2 linked regions of the Xenopus tropicalis genome follow. The protein of the gene in region 1 purifies or fractionates together with the protein of each later gene. This does not show direct contact. Links are inferred from orthologs where the notes say so. Each region holds a gene or a part of one and is shown in the gene's direction. Other genes may lie near its edges.

Region 1 (7,953 bases):
AGATGGCCTTTCCCTAATTCGGAGCTCTCTGGATAACGGGTTTCCGGATAAGGGATCTCATACCTGTACAAGTAGTCAGGGACAGGAGAGGAGGGAAACACTGCTTCCCATTATCATTTATAAATAACCTAAAAACCACCAAAAATCTTTCATTAACATATATTTGAAAGTTGCTTAGAATTGCATTTCTTTTCATTATGCAAAAAACTTTTGTAGATGAGAGTTGCATATCCTGAGGGAACATGGTTTGAAGAGGGAATGAAGCTGGAAGCAGTTGACCCACTAAATCTTGGCAATATCTGTGTTGCTACTGTCTGCAAGGTAAGGAATACACTGATAGTTCAATAAAGAACACAATTCATCATGCTCCATCGAGTGCCCAGAGAACCTAACAAAAATCTGCAGATTATTTTTATGTTATATCAAAATACAATAAAGTACATTTCTTGTGCCCAAATGCTAGAGCACTAAGGTGTGCAAAATTACACTTTATTATTAGAGCCCATGCATAGAACACTGATCCATTATTCAGTTATTGCTTACACCCTCTATCTTTGTACACTGTTTCTTTGCTGGCACCATGTTAGATATAATTACTATTATACTACTACTTATACTTTGATGTTTGTATATTTTCTTTTTGCAATCTGCTACAGATTCTGTTGGATGGATATCTCATGGTGGGCTTTGATAGTGCACCTTCTGCTGATGGCTCAGAGTGGTTTTGTTACCATGCCTCATCACCTTCTATATTTCCTGTAGGATTCTGTCATCAGTATGATATTGAGTTGACACAGCCTCCAGGTAATTTCTATTATTTTAAATGCATTTATATTGCAAGCCACATATTTGTATTCAATAAGGAGGCGAGCAGAAACATGGTGGTTGTAGTGGATGTGATTTACTTAAATTTTGCTAAACATTTACAGAAGTTTAATGATTATATTAAGTAATATTTGCTGTGAACATATATATTCATAGATTGGGAAGCTGGACTTGGATTTCTTATTATTGAGTGCTCTTCTGATATGTACTGGGAGCTGCTATCTTGCTATCTTCCCATTGTTCTGATGATCGGCTGCTGTGAAGGAGACGGAGGAGAAAGATATCACTCCAACTTGCATCTCGGTTATAAAGTGTGTCTAAAGTTTATCAGAGCACAGGTCACATGGCTGTAGCTCCCTGGGAAATGAAGAATATGGCTAGCCCCATGTGAAATTTCAAAATTCAATATAAAATAATGTGTTTTTGAAAAACGGATTTCAATGCAGGATTCTGCTGGAGAGGCTCTATGTATATAAACTATAGTAGCAATTTTGTAGCAAAGACACTAGTTTTACCAGTGTAGGGCAACAATACATTTTAATTACTTTAAAACACTTTCATTTTTGATGTTACTCTTCCTTTAATATAACAGAGGTTAAAATAAAGAACTACTGATCACTTAATAAATGTAAATTCATTGCTGCTGCTAGAGTTACAGCCATATACACTGGGGTGTGCCTTCCATCCAAACCTAATAGTTAATATAAGTATATCCTATATATTGTTGGATTATCCTAAACATCCATTAGGGCCACCATGCACAGATGTCCATAGCCATGTTTAAATTGTTCAACCAGCATTTCAGAAGTCTGGAACTGTTAATAATCACATGTAGGCAAGGACCATTCATAGTGTATAGTTGTCCTGTGACATTCACACCTGACAAAAATTGCAATAATCATCCTTGCTTTTTCCCCCTTCAAATAAAAAGCATGCAATTTTTATTTTGACCTGCAGGCTATACCAAAGAAACATTTTCCTGGGATGAATACTTGGAGAAAACTGGTTCCAAAGCAGCGCCTGCTCGATTATTTAACCATGTAAGTTATGGCTGTTTCTAATACATCACCATATACAGTGGTGTGAAAAACTATTTGCCCACTTCCTGATTTCTTATTCTTTAGCATGTTTGTCACACAAAATGTTTCTGCTCATCAAAAACCGTTAACTATTAGTCAAAGATAACATAATTGAACTCAAAATGCAGTTTTTAAATGAAGGTTTACGTTATTAAAGGAACAGTAACACCAAAAAATGAAAGAGCTTTAAAGTAATAAAAATATAATGTACTGTTGCCCTGCACTGGTAAAACTGGTGTGTTTGCTACAGTAACACTACTATAATTGATATAATAAGCTGCTGTGTAGCCACGGGGGCAGCCATTCAAGCTGGAAAAAAGGAGAAAAGGCACAGGTTACATAGCAGATAACAGATAAGTTCTGTAGAATACAATAGTGTGTTATCTGCTATGTGCCTGTGCCTTTTCTCCTTTGAATGGCTGCCTCCATGGCTACATAGCAGCTTATTTATATAAATTATAGTAGACTTTCTGAAGTAAACACACAACTTTTACCAGTGCAGGGCAGCAGCACATTATATTTTAGTTACTTTTATACACTTTCATTTTTTGGTGTTACTGTCCCTTTAAGGGAGAAAAACTCCAAATCTACATGGCCCTGTGTGAAAAAGTGACTTAACTGTGGTTTATCACACCCCCAGTTCAATTTCTGTAGTCACCCCCAGGCCTGATTACTGCCACACCTGTTTCAATCAAGAAATCACTTAAATAGGAGCTACCTGACACAGAAAAGTAGACCAAAAGCACCTCAAAAGCTAGACATCATGCCAAGATCCAAAGAAATTGAGGAACAAATGAGAACAAAAGTAATTGAGATCTATCAGTCTGGTAAAGGTTATAAAGCCATTTCTAAAGCTTTGGGACTCCAGCGAACCACAGTGAGAGCCATTATCCACAAATGGCAAAAACATGGAACATTTGTGAACCTTCCCAGGAGTGGCCGGCCGACCAAAATTACCCCAAGAGCGCAGAGACAACTCATCCGAGAGGCCACAAAAGACCCCAGGACAACTTCTAAAGAACTGCAGGCCTCACTTGCCTCAATTAAGGTCAGTGTTCACGACTCCACCATAAGAAAGAGACTGGGCAAAAACGGCCTGCATGGCAGATTTCCAAGGCGCAAACCACTTTTAAGCAAAAAGAACATTAAGGCTCGTCTCAATTTTGCTAAAAAACATCTCAATGATTGCCAAGACTTTTGGGAAAATACCTTGTGGACCGACGAGACAAAAGTTGAACTCTTTGGAAGGTGCGTGTCATTTACGTGTCGTTACATCTGGCGTAAAAGTAACACAGCATTTCAGAAAAAGAACATCATACCAACAGTAAAATATGGTGGTGGTAGTGTGATGGTCTGGGGTTGTTTTGCTGCTTCAGGACCTGGAAGGCTTGCTGTGATAGATGGAACCATGAATTCTACTGTCTACCAAAAAATCCTGAAGGAGAATGTCCGGCCATCTGTTCGTCAACTCAAGCTGAATCGATCTTGGGTGCTGCAGCAGGACAATGACCCAAAACACACCAGCAAATCCACCTCTGAATGGCTGAAGAAAAACAAAATGAAGACTTTGGAGTGCCCTAGTCAAAGTCCTGACCTGAATCCTATTGAGATGTTGTGGCATGACCTTAAAAAGACGGTTCATGCTAGAAAACCCTCAAATAAAGCTGAATTACAACAATTCTGCAAAGATGAGTGGGCCAAAATTCCTCCAGAGCACTGTAAAAGACTCGTTGCAAGTTATCGCAAACACTTGATTGCAGTTATTGCTGCTAAGGGTGGCCCAACCAGTTATTAGGTTCAGGGGGCAATTACTTTTTCACACAGGGCCATGTAGGTTTGGATTTTTTTTCTCCCTTAACAATAAAAACCCTCATTTAAAAACTGCATTTCGTGTTTACTTGTGTTATCTTTGACTAATAGTTAAATGTGTTTGATGAGCAGAAACATTTAAGTGTGACAAACATGCAAAAGAATAAGAAATCAGGAAGGGGGCAAATAGTTTTTCACACCACTGTACCTCCCTTTATAGGAAACACCCTATTCCCTTATTAGGTATAGGACCAGGGCAAATGTTGCTCTTGTTACTAAACTTGATACTATGCAGCCACTAGCTTTGCATCTCAATTTCTGTTATCAGATCATCCCTTTAAATAAGGGACACTTAAGAAAAATACATTTTAAATCGATGGTAATTTGATCCATTTATATAATAGAGAGTCCAATATTTTTAATAATTCATATAATTTTTTTCTCTGTTCTGGCCAGGACTGTCCTAACCATGGCTTTGAGCCAGGTATGAAACTGGAAGCAGTGGATCTAATGGAACCACGTCTTATCTGTGTGGCAACTATTACTCGAGTGGTCCAACGTCTGCTCAGAATTAACTTTGATGGGTGGGATGTTGAATATGACCAGTGGGTAGACTGTGAATCCCCTGACATTTATCCTGTAGGCTGGTGTGAACTGCTTGGATACCAACTTCAACCCCCTGTGGAAGATGGTATGAAAGTCATTATATTGGTATTTTTTGTTTTTAAATGCACTTGTTTTTAGTATAATCTTTGCTCTGCCATCTCTCCTCTACTTTGTGCAGGTCAGTTCCATGTCAAAGTAAGTGATGTAAAGTAATAACAAGGAATTGCTGGCATTTCTTGTGCCACAAATATTAGTTTTTTTCAAGGTTACTACATACGCTTCCTGGGAACACATGCCCAGGATATTATTAAAGGTCCCAGGTCAAGAACAAAATTTCAATTTTTTTAGAGGAAAAATTATGATAGAAAGTTATAGATACATACAGTGGCTTGCAAAAGTATTCGGCCCCCTTGAACTTTTCCACATTTTGTCACATTACAGCCACAAACATGAATCAATTTTATTGGAATTCCACGTGAAAGACCAATACAAAGTGGTGTACACGTGAGAAGTGGAACGAAAATCATACATGATTCCAAACATTTTTTACAAATAAATAACTGCAAAGTGGGGTGTGTGTAATTATTCAGCCCCTTGAGTCAATACTTTGTAGAACCACCTTTTGCTGCAATTACAGCTGCCAGTCTTTTACCAGCTTTGCACATCTAGAGACTGAAATCCTTGCCCATTCTTCTTTGCAAAACAGCTCCAGCTCAGTCAGATTAGATGGACAGCGTTTGTGAACAGCAGTTTTCAGATCTTGCCACAGATTCTCGATTGGATTTAGATCTGGACTTTGACTGGGCCATTCTAACACATGGCTATGTTTTGTTTTAACCCATTCCATTGTTGCCCTGGCTTTATGTTTAGGGTCGTTGTCCTGCTGGAAGGTGAACCTCCGCCCCAGTCTCAAGTCTTTTGCAGACTCCAAGAGGTTTTCTTCCAAGATTGCCCTGTATTTGGCTCCATCCATCTTCCCATCAACTCTGACCAGCTTCCCTGTCCCTGCTGAAGAGAAGCACCCCCAGAGCATGATGCTGCCACCACCATATTTGACAGTGGGGATGGTGTGTTCAGAGTGATGTGCAGTGTTAGTTTTCCGCCACACATAGCGTTTTGCATTTTGGCCAAAAAAGTTCCATTTTGGTCTCATCTGACCAGAGCACCTTCTTCCACATGTTTGCTGTATCCCCCACTTGGCTTGTGGCAAACTGCAAACGGGACTTCTTATGGTTTTCTGTTAACAATGGCTTTCTTCTTGCCACTCTTCCATAAAGGCCAACTTTGTGCAGTGCACGACTAATAGTTGTCCTATGGACAGATTCCCCCACCTGAGCTGTAGATCTCTGCAGCTCGTCCAGAGTCACCATGGGCCTCTTGGCTGCATTTCTGATCAGCGCTCTCCTTGTTCGGCCTGTGAGTTTAGGTGGACGGCCTTGTCTTGGTAGGTTTACAGTTGTGCCATACTCCTTCCATTTCTGAATGATCGCTTGAACATTGCTCCGTGGGATGTTCAAGGCTTTGGAAATCTTTTTGTAGCCTAAGCCTGCTTTAAATTTCTCAATAACTTTATCCCTGACCTGTCTGGTGTGTTCTTTGGACTTCATGGTGTTGTTGCTCCCAATATTCTCTTAGACAACCTCTGAGGCCATCACAGAGCAGCTGTATTTGTATGTGTGTGATCCATTATCCAGAGGAAACCAGTTATCCAGAAACTTCCAAATTTTGCAAAGGCCATCTCCCATAGGTTCATATTAATCAAATATTTTTCCTTATTGTCTGTGATAATAAAACAGTACCTTGTACTTGATCCCCACTAATATATCATTAAAGGAGAAGGAAAAGTAAAAACAAAGTAAAATTTATCAGAAAGGTCTATGTAAATACAGCCATAAGCACTCACAGAAACGCTGCACTCTGTCAAAAGAAACACAGGATTTCTTGTCTTCTTTTGTGAACATATGTTCTTCAGTGTCAGACTTCCCTCTCTCACAATAATTCTTCAGGGCACATGCACGAGTTTGCTCCTCTCTCCCTCTTTTCCTCCTTTCCCTACCATGAGAATTTGCTCCCTCTCGAATCTTTGTAATCAGAGCTACCGGCAGCGAAAGCTGCAGCATTGAAGCTACTGAGACCAAGCTAAAATGGCAGCTGCTATCTTAAACAAACAGAGGGAGCTTCTAAGGTTGGTTTACTCAGGTATGGTACAGCTCTCTACAGAATAAATATAGCATTCTAGCATAAACTAATTTGGCTTATCTTTTGACAGTAAAATACCTTTCCTTCTTCTTATTGAAGGCAAAACAATCCTGTTGGGTTTTAATTAATGTGTATATGATTTTTTTTTAGTTCTAGATCTGGAAGACCACAATAAATCATATGTTTGATGAAGCTCTAATGGCTTCTAGTTATTGCTGGGTGGACTGCACCTCAGTGAAATGGCTGTTTCCATTTAGATTCTGATTCTGCATTGCAAGGACTTATTTTTAACTGTTTTGGCAGGAGATCCCAAACTAAGTACAGTAGGGCAGTGAAATCATTATCCACCAACATCAAAAACAGGAGAAAAACAAAAAAAAAAGTCAATGAAAAAAAAATACGTTAAGAACAATCTACTTTATTTAAGCAACACTTTTATGTCCTTAGGTGTTTCATGCTCCATGAGCACTTAGGCCAGTAATTGAAATCATTACACTAAATTCCTGTGGTTGGGTCTGACTCAGTAAAGCATGATCATTAATGGCTGTACAAAAATATATAAAGGGTAATGCAGACACTAACACAGTTAAAGTGGATACAGGAATATAAATAAAGCCATTATTACTCCAGCCTATTAGAGGTTTGCTCCCCTGCAAACCTTTATGCGCAGCAGACCATTGTGGCCACCAATAGGGTTAGCACCAACACTGTATTTTGCAGGGCTTTGGAATCAGTTCATAAATCCTTTAACTCCAACTGCTCAGTTAATGATACTTCCAACTCCAGGTACCCAAATTTACTTCTAACTCCACAGCTCTGTATCCCTAGGCACAGGCCCTTGAGTGCCTATATGGTAAATACGGCCCTGGCTAGAGCATGTCCCTACAGAGATAATTATGGGCGGGGGAAGATTTAAACATCTCAACAGTGTTTCTTCTTGTGTTTAAATACAAAATTGCAGAAAGGGAGTCTAAGCACCCTATTGATTCCTATTCCTACACAGGAATGAACCAGTATCGCTGTAAGTTAGTTTCCAGTAATAAGATAGTTACTTAGTAAAAATTGGTAATACCACGTTATAAAGCATTCTCATGTTTTGCTTATCTCACTTTCCCACCCCACTGCAATGATACACTGTTCTCTCTCACATGTAGAACCAAAAGAAGAGCCAAAGCCTAAGGAAGTCAAGAAAAAGAAGAAAGCTGCATTTGGAAAGAGAAGTAAGAGTTCCTCTATCAAACATTTATTTTCGTAGCCAGTTGTGCCAAGGTCATTTGAAATTCTGTTCCAAGAAAGAAATGATGGTCTGTCATCCTTGTTCCTTCCTCTTTCTGCCTTTCTTTTACTTCAACAGTTGTCTGTGTGTGATGAGAGTGGGAAAGCAAGACTAAAGCTGGCATAAACATAAGATCACTTGTTCAGATCTCTCCCTGAT
Region 2 (8,053 bases), on another chromosome or scaffold:
CGAGGGCGGGAGACCGAGGAGACGTCTGAGTTATTTCCAAAGGCAAAAATCATTTTAGGCAAAAATTTAATTTTTGTGCGCGCTATTTTAATTTGTGTGCGCGGGTTCGGAAAGTCGTGTGCGCGCGCACACGCGCACAGCTTAGAGGGAACAGTGTTTGGAGCTATAGATTTGAAATAATGTAGGGTCCAATTGTCTGATATACATGCAATATTACATGGGTAACTCCAATATACTGTAGTAATATAAAATGATTTCCTGCAGATAGAGATAAAGCCTCAGTGGTATGTTACTATACAATGAGACAGTCCAGGAGCGGGGTTGCCATCTTTTAATATGCTGCTTAGTGAATTCTGTACTGCACCTTTAGCACCAATCACTAACTTTGTTTATGTCACAATCTTAGGGGCAGATTTATCAAAACACAAGTTCGAATCCCGAATGGGAAAAATTCGGATTGGAAATGAAAATTTCTGAAGATCGCAAATATCACGAAATTGCTTTCGAAAAAATCATATTAGTCACGATAATATCGTATTGGCGATCTGAAAATCACGGAATTTTCATACCAAACCATTGCAAACAGCGGCAGGGCCTTTCCGAATTTTTCACGCGGACACGCAAAAAGTCGCGCAAGCGCGAAAAAACGGCGAGAATACGCTCGGAGCATTTGCATGAACGTTCCAAGCATTCGGGTCTTTGTAAATCTCCCCCATAATGTAGAGGCCCTTAATCTTACTGGACCAACGATGAAAGGTGGTTGGCAGTCCAAGGTCATTATTGGTGCTGAGGATTGCACATGGCTTTCTGCATTATCAGCACCATGGAAATCTTCTAGTTAATTATGCGCATGCATTGGGCTAGAACAACAGATGTGTGCATGTACCAAGCCTCAGAAACTGTTTTTGATAAAGTGATGTCTTTTTGTTTGTCTTAACTTCCCGTTAAAATTAAAAACCTGCTGCATTATTTTAAAGCACCTGTGAGATGGGATAAATCTTATTTTGTGGCTTTCCTTGTCCTTTAATGACATTAGCAGACACAGAATGTATGAATTTGGTGTTATTGGCGCCTTCCATCAGTTTGCTAGGAAGCTTAATTGGTGGTTTGCCACGGTTTTACAGCAAAATTCTGCAGTGCAATTGCACAAAATGTAAATGGTTTACATAAAGGAGAACAAGCTTGTTGCCAACAACAGTGTTAAAAGAAAAAGTGCATTAGTTATATACACCATTGCTTTACAGAAAAGTTGCATGGTTTATTCAGTTAAGAGTCATCTAGGTGACATTTGCATTGAACTTTTTATTCTGCTGGAGCGACCGCTATGCAAGAAGAGTTTGATAAATTGCGCAAAATTCTCTGGCCTCAGTTGCATGCAAAGTCTTTGCTTCAAAGGGCTCTCTTTGCATTTCTGTATAGTTGCACTTTGCACCACTCAGGCCTTCCTGTTCCATACTGAACGCAAATGTAATATTGATGCAGAGGAACCCTGGTGCTGCCATGTACGGACCAGGTGGTAGCTTCAGAGTTCCCTTTAGCACTCTGTGCCGCCTCAGGCATCCATGTTAATGCCGCCCCCTTGCGCTTAGCTTTGTTGCGTCAGTGGGGGGCTGCATTGCTAGTGCGGACAGCCGAAATTCTGATTTAAAAAACAGAAATTCAGCTCCTTAAAGGACAAGGAAAGGCTAAGTCACTTGGGGGTGCCAAAATGTTAGGCACCCCCAAGTGACTTTAATCGCTTACCTTGTACCCCAGGCTGGTGGCCCTGTTAGTAGAAAAGAGCAACGGCCAAGGGTACCTGTAGTGAGCGTTTCCTCCTTCCGGTTTCGTTTTGCAAGTACTACATGACAGGCGCATGCTCAGTAGAGTGAAAAAGCGACTTCTCTGTTAAAGTTCGGCTTTTCACTCTACTGCGCATGCGAAGATGTAAGGAGGAAGCGCTGCATCTACCTCGGGCTGGTGCTGTTCTCTCCGAACAGTGGCACCAGTCAGGGATAAAAGGTAGGCGATTTAAGTAACTTGGGGGTGCCCAACATTTTGGCACCCCCAAGTGACTTTGCCTTTCCTTCTCCTTTAAGTTACCAGGAGTGACTTTTGCTGCCCCTGGTAACTTGCCAGGCTCTGCCGTCTGAGGCGATAGGTGCAGGGGCACAGTTACTGTGAAGCGAGTTTAAAAACTCGCCTCAGGCAGCAGCACCCCCGAAGTTACCAGGGGAGGCAAATAGCCGCTCCTGACAACTTTAGGAGCCAAATTTCTGGTTTTTAAAAGGGAAATTTTGCTGCACTATAGCAGAGATTGCCATGGCACTCTCTACACTAGCGATGTGGCATGCCTGGACCCCCTCCCGTGCTGTAAAGGCATGGTAGGAACCTCCTCAGGTGGCTCAGGGGCAAGAAACACCCCTGGATAGGTGCAGTGCACTTGCATCTAGAGAATAGGTTCCTGACACTCTCATATTAAATGGACAGAATTTTTTTTAGCGCAATTGCATCTAATTTACAGCAAAGTTTGCCTGAAATTGCACTTGGCAGACTGCCCTGCACTTGTAAGCATAAATATTTTCTGTGTAGGTGATGTGACTGCTCAGCTGCCAGTGTATACCTAGAACGTCCAGATGATGAAACGCATACACTGGACAGACAGGGGAGTGCCTTCGTAAAATACACGAAAATGGCGGCCTAGTGAAGTGAAATATGTGTCAATGCCACATATTTCAAGCATTTTTTTTTTTTTTTTATTATTTGCAAACAAAACGACATGTATCAGTCAGACACCTACACGAGGAGCGACAGAGGCGGGCGGAGCCTGGGACCTACCTTTCAACACGTGACTCACTACTATTAAATATATAATTCGGGTTTTCTTTTATCATTAAGACCCTGACTTCATGGGCTCTTCAACTACACCCGTGTAGATTGTACCGGAATTGACATTAACTGCCCTCAAGGCAGGCTGTCCTATTTTGTCAGGGTGCCGCTTCCCTTAGACCCATGGTATTGAAAGAGTTACTGTTCGCGCCAGTAAATTCCCCGCCAGTGTGTTGGTAGGGCCCATTGTTCTGCGCGTCACTCGGGCCCTCCCACTCCTGCGCACATCGGAGCTGCAGGCAGCCGCGGCTTGGAGAGCGTTTCTCGGTGTGAGGGGGACGGAGCAGGAGTCACCGGGTGCTGGTTATCCAAAGAGAGTGAGGTACGGGGATGAGAGAGAGGAATGTTGTACCCGGGGGCATGAGGAGGGAGAGGAGCAGCATGGGAGAAGCACGGCCCGGCAGGGTTGGGGAGGCGGGAAAATTGCTGCTAGTTTGGGAGAGAAGCGGAGGCCTGCTGCAGAGTAGCAGCACAGACCAATGGGTGGGAGGCATTGTGTAAGGGCGGGGAGGCCGTTCTGCAAACATACTGCCTTGTCTTCAATTGCTGCTCACCGCTACCTGGGCTTGTTGGGAGCTGTAGTTCAACGGCAGAAAAAGTCACAACTTTCTATTTCACGTATATATCTTGCCGAATGAAGAGCGGCCCCCTAGCACTTATATGACGCTAGCAGTGTTAGTGGTATTCCGCCAGTATTCCCATGCCCGGTGCAGCGCACAGTAACTCTCACATAGTGCTAGGATGGATACCCCCTGAGTTTCTCTGTATCACTGGGTTTCTTTACAATGAAGCTAATGCTGTTCGGTACGGGGGGTGCGCAGGCGCGAAGGTTCGTGGCCTCTAGGTGGTTAGTAGGGAAAGTAAAGGGTATACAGGGCAATGGCTACCCGGGCTGGACAATCATAGGGAAAGCTCGGTGCCGCTGGTTATAATGGTTTCCAACTGTGCCATGCAGTTTCCCCTGCGACAGTCTAATCTCTAGTTTCCGTGAATGTGTGTTCCTCATCTCCCTCCGGAATACATTCGGTTAATCAATCATGTTGCGGCTCATTCACATGTACGCATGCGTGTTGGAGGGGGTGGGGGATGCTTTTGCTTTCCGGCTTGGGAGGTGAAGCGGCGTAAAACTTTATCTGGATGCACGTTGCGCAGAGCTGCTTTCACGCTAATGTTGTATGGGGGGGCGGGGGGGTTATGGAGTCTCGCACGGCAGTCACAGCAGAAAATTCCTGCCTTTGTTTCTGGTATGGCAGAATTTCGCCTCACGGCAGACCGCTTTCTCATTTCAAGGGACAGTGTATCCCGTGTTTATAGGATTGGCTTAGTGATAAGGGCGTGTGCTGAAAGGAGACTTATCATAACAAATTAAGAATGTACTAGTGAATTATACTTTAAATATAGAAGGATTGTGCTTTAAAATAGTTGTTTCAGACTGATTTATTGAAACATTATACACAGACCCCTCTAGTCCCGCCCATCTGTTCCACTTCCTGCAGGCTGAAATCTCTGGATGTGCAGGGGAACCACTGGCTCTTGGCACACTGCACTGTAGGATAGGAACCTACGCTAGGCGGACCCAATAGGGAACTGAAGTATGTCTTTGCTTGTGAATTCAACTGTTAGGATACTCCCGCCCTTCATTTGAAGCACAGAAGACTGATAGGATCTACATGGAGCTCCAGTAAAGGAGACCTTTTTACAGATAGGATTAATTTTTAGCCCGAAGTGACACCAGCACCATATAGTATTCATAAGTGCCTACAAAATTAGGGGTTTTTCCACTTATCCAATGTCTCATTGAACTTCATTTTTCCCTGTGTTAATTATTTATATTGTTTTATTCTTCTTTGCACTAAACAGGCCAGAATCTTCAGGTAGTCACTTAGAGGTGTTTAGATTAGTCCTTTTTCTGGAGCAATGAATTGCCTTTTGAGTGCTGAACCTGTTCTAATAATCAAATGAAAAACCAGTCTCTTAAGGTTTGGGATAATACCCCATAGTTTCCAGTGAAATTAAATCTCAAGAAAACCTAATTGACAGAGGTTAGGTTTTTATTTTTATCTCTGGAATAAAAATGTGCCAGCCTAGAGCTCTTTAAGTAGCAGTGATACCACAATACTGCACTTTTCCCTGGAATTCCTAGTGTAAACAGACTAGCACAAGCACGGTATACTACCATTGGAAAATTTTTATTAAACTGGACATGTGCAAGTTTGTGCTAGGAATCCTTGGGTAAAGTCTGGCACTTTTTGTGAGAATAGTTGGCCAAAGAAATAATTTTCTAACTTATTGGCACCCTTGTGCTTTAACATTATAACTTACTACATAGCAGGGAGCTAGCACCTAATTGTAAGCATAATACAGTTTGTGTTGGGATAATTTTGATAAGGCTGTGAAAAAGTGGTGCATATTGTCTTTGGAATGGTGCTCACAGTATTAGGGGCTGTTCCTTTACAGAAGAGGAGTGTTTCTATTAGGTTAGGTAGGATCAAGCATAGCAGCTATCAGTGGGCAGTGCTGGCACGGTGTGTACTGTGCTAAGAACTTGTACTGTATGTAATCAGGGAGCAGGAGGCTGGAAATTCTCTCATGTGACCAACAGTCTGAAGTGCCATTTTACACTAATGTTAACAGGAAAGTTTGAAATGGAGAGTACTAATTGCATATACAATTATTGGTTTATATTGATAACTACTGTATTAATAATGCATGTCTTGTAACATATGTTTCTGATATCTAAATGTCTCTTAAAGGGGTAGTGCACCCCAGTGAATAGGGCTTGTGCCAAATGCACTTCTATCTTATTTAAGAAAAACATTCTTGTGATTTCTTGTAGTAAACTGGCACAATCTAAAACAAAGTTGCATTCTACTTCCTGGCTGTATAATTAAGGTCAAAACAGATCTGCGTTCTACTGCTGTTCCTTATCTCTGTCTTACAGGCTGCAGCTGGGCAAGGAATCTTAGTGGGCAACTGATTTGTTTTGACCTTGATTGTAGGGACGGGAACTTTGAATGAAAGGGAACCCAAATGAAAATATCTGCTTTTGTTTTGTGCAAGAAATCTCAATTGTACCAACTAATTGCCCTGCATGTCTTTGCCCTTAAGTTACTTATTCTGCCACAGGCTAGCTGCAGTGAGTCAGACCAGATATAGTCTGTCTGGCTTTAGGCCACAAGGAATTTATTCAACTTAGTGTATGCCTTTTATAGAAAGGCTGCAACTGCAATGGGACCTATATGTAATTCATTAAGCATGCATTTTGTGCATGTTTATCTTAAAGGGGCTGTTTACTTTCCAAACACACTCGAGCTTAGTTTTTTTCTGGTGTACTATGTGAAAACGCTTGAACTGAAATCTGTTTGGAAGGCAAACAGCTTCTTTTTAAAATTGTTTTAGTTATAAACTGATGTGTGGTTAAAAATTTCTACATGCTGTCAGGACCTGATAATGGCTAGACCTTAAAGATGCATTGCATGCTAAAATATGTAACTTTGCTGTTGATGTAGCAGATGTGAGTGTTAACCACCATTTGTACTTGTGAACATTCATTTGTAGAAACTGTTTTTGATTTATAGGTTTGTTTATTTTTGCTGGGCTAATAATCCTAGCAGCCAGGCAGTATTTTGGAAGTCAGAAGTAAAGATGAAGAGTGGAGGACTTCCACAATTAGAAATTAACATGGTAACAATCTGATTTCTAGCTTCTATTTCTAGTATATTATATAGCATATGTGAAGGACTTATGTTGTAAGACAGGCAGTATTGTTTTGAGGGGGGGGGGAGCATCCCTCTCTTTGAGGGCATAAACAATATTACGTGTGCACTTTAGTTTGACATACATACATTATTGTCAAGCAATTATCTGGTTTCACCTTTTAAATAAGTTCTTAAGTGTCCCTTAACTTTAGTGCTCTAATGCTTTCTATGTTAAAGGGAAAATATACCTTATTCTTGACATGTAGAATAAGTAGTATCTGAACTTTCAAATTGTAATAAAATAATATATTTATATTTACAGACATCACCTTTCATTAGGAGGTGATTAATTCTGCAAATTGAAGTCCCTCTGCTTTCCGTAGCGGGTGGTGCACATTCTCTGGGAAGCTGTGGGATTTTCGCAGAATCACTTCACAATGGAACAAAGATGGGTATATTTGCCCTTTAAGCCATTGGTCGAACTATTAAGATGTACTAAATTTTTTTTTTTTTTTTTTTAAATGTACCTTTTGAGTTTCCTTCTTACAAAATAGATATGTATACTTAACCAATATATATTTCTTTTTCCACAGACCATGGGAAAGAAACAGAATGGCAAGGGCAAGAAAGTGGAGGAAGCAGAGCCTGAAGAATTTGTTGTAGAAAAAGTTCTGGACAGACGTGTAGTAAATGGAAAGGTTGAATATTATCTCAAATGGAAAGGTTTCACAGAGTATGTAGTGTTAACATTCAACTTCTACCACAGCATTTTATTGATATTGAACAGTATTTAGAAATTTGATGAAAACATTTTTTAGTATTAGAGATGTTTTTTAAAGGAGAAGGAAAGGCTAAGTCACTTGGGGAAGCCAAAATGTTAACGTTGCTGCTGTTTGCCCCTGAAACTTTCAATAAAGGCATTTTAATTTAAAATGTAAGAGGTGCTGTTCCGGATCGTTTGTACCTGGATATGCCGATGGAATGTGGCCATTGGGAAACCTGCACTGTTACAAACTAAATACAAGGTGTTGTGCTGACTACTACTTCCAAAGGTGCCAAAATGTTAGGCACCCCCAAGTGACTTTAATCGTTTACCTTTTACCGCACCAGCCCTGGGTACCTGCAGTGAGCGCTTCCTTTTTCCTTCTGCCGGGAAAATCCCTGGGCCGGTGCATGCACAGTAGAGTGAAAAGCAGACTTCTTTGTCCAGCTTTTCACTCTACTGCGCAAGCGTGCGAACCAGGAAGAGGAGATGCTCGCAGGTTCGGTTCTCTCCTAACAGGGGCACCAGCCCGGGGTAAAAGGTAAGCAGTTAAAGTCACTTGGGGGTGCCTAACATTTTGGCACCCCCAAGTGACTTAGCCTTTCCTTTTCCTTTAAGTTTTCTTTGCATGTTGTAAGTAACTGGAGTGTTCCTACAAGCAAGGGTTAGTAGGCACACTCGCCTGTGTTATTGCCACCCTTATAGCTGAAAGTTAAAGGACATG

The links.
Region 2: the proteins of l3mbtl2 (region 1) and cbx3 purify together in Homo sapiens (affinity purification with mass spectrometry; 5 studies listed by BioGRID and IntAct, with this or other methods). This does not show direct contact. The link is inferred for Xenopus tropicalis from reciprocal best matches to the Homo sapiens genes L3MBTL2 and CBX3.

The regions. Positions count from the first base shown.
Region 1 is NC_030680.2:115,998,766-116,006,718, reverse strand, and holds part of l3mbtl2 (lethal(3)malignant brain tumor-like protein 2), read left to right. Parts: intron 1-216; coding exon 217-321; intron 322-656; coding exon 657-804; intron 805-1,782; coding exon 1,783-1,865; intron 1,866-4,169; coding exon 4,170-4,404; intron 4,405-7,672; coding exon 7,673-7,738; intron 7,739-7,872; exon of another isoform or gene 7,873-7,953. UniProt on the Homo sapiens protein: Putative Polycomb group (PcG) protein. PcG proteins maintain the transcriptionally repressive state of genes, probably via a modification of chromatin, rendering it heritably changed in its expressibility.
Region 2 is NC_030682.2:41,661,619-41,669,671, forward strand, and holds the start of cbx3 (chromobox protein homolog 3), read left to right. Parts: upstream 1-3,144; 5' UTR 3,145-3,190; intron 3,191-4,038; exon of another isoform or gene 4,039-4,062; coding exon of another isoform or gene 4,063-4,112; intron 4,113-6,446; coding exon of another isoform or gene 6,447-6,552; intron 6,553-6,988; exon of another isoform or gene 6,989-7,003; coding exon of another isoform or gene 7,004-7,018; intron 7,019-7,159; coding exon of another isoform or gene 7,160-7,162; coding exon 7,163-7,299; intron 7,300-8,053.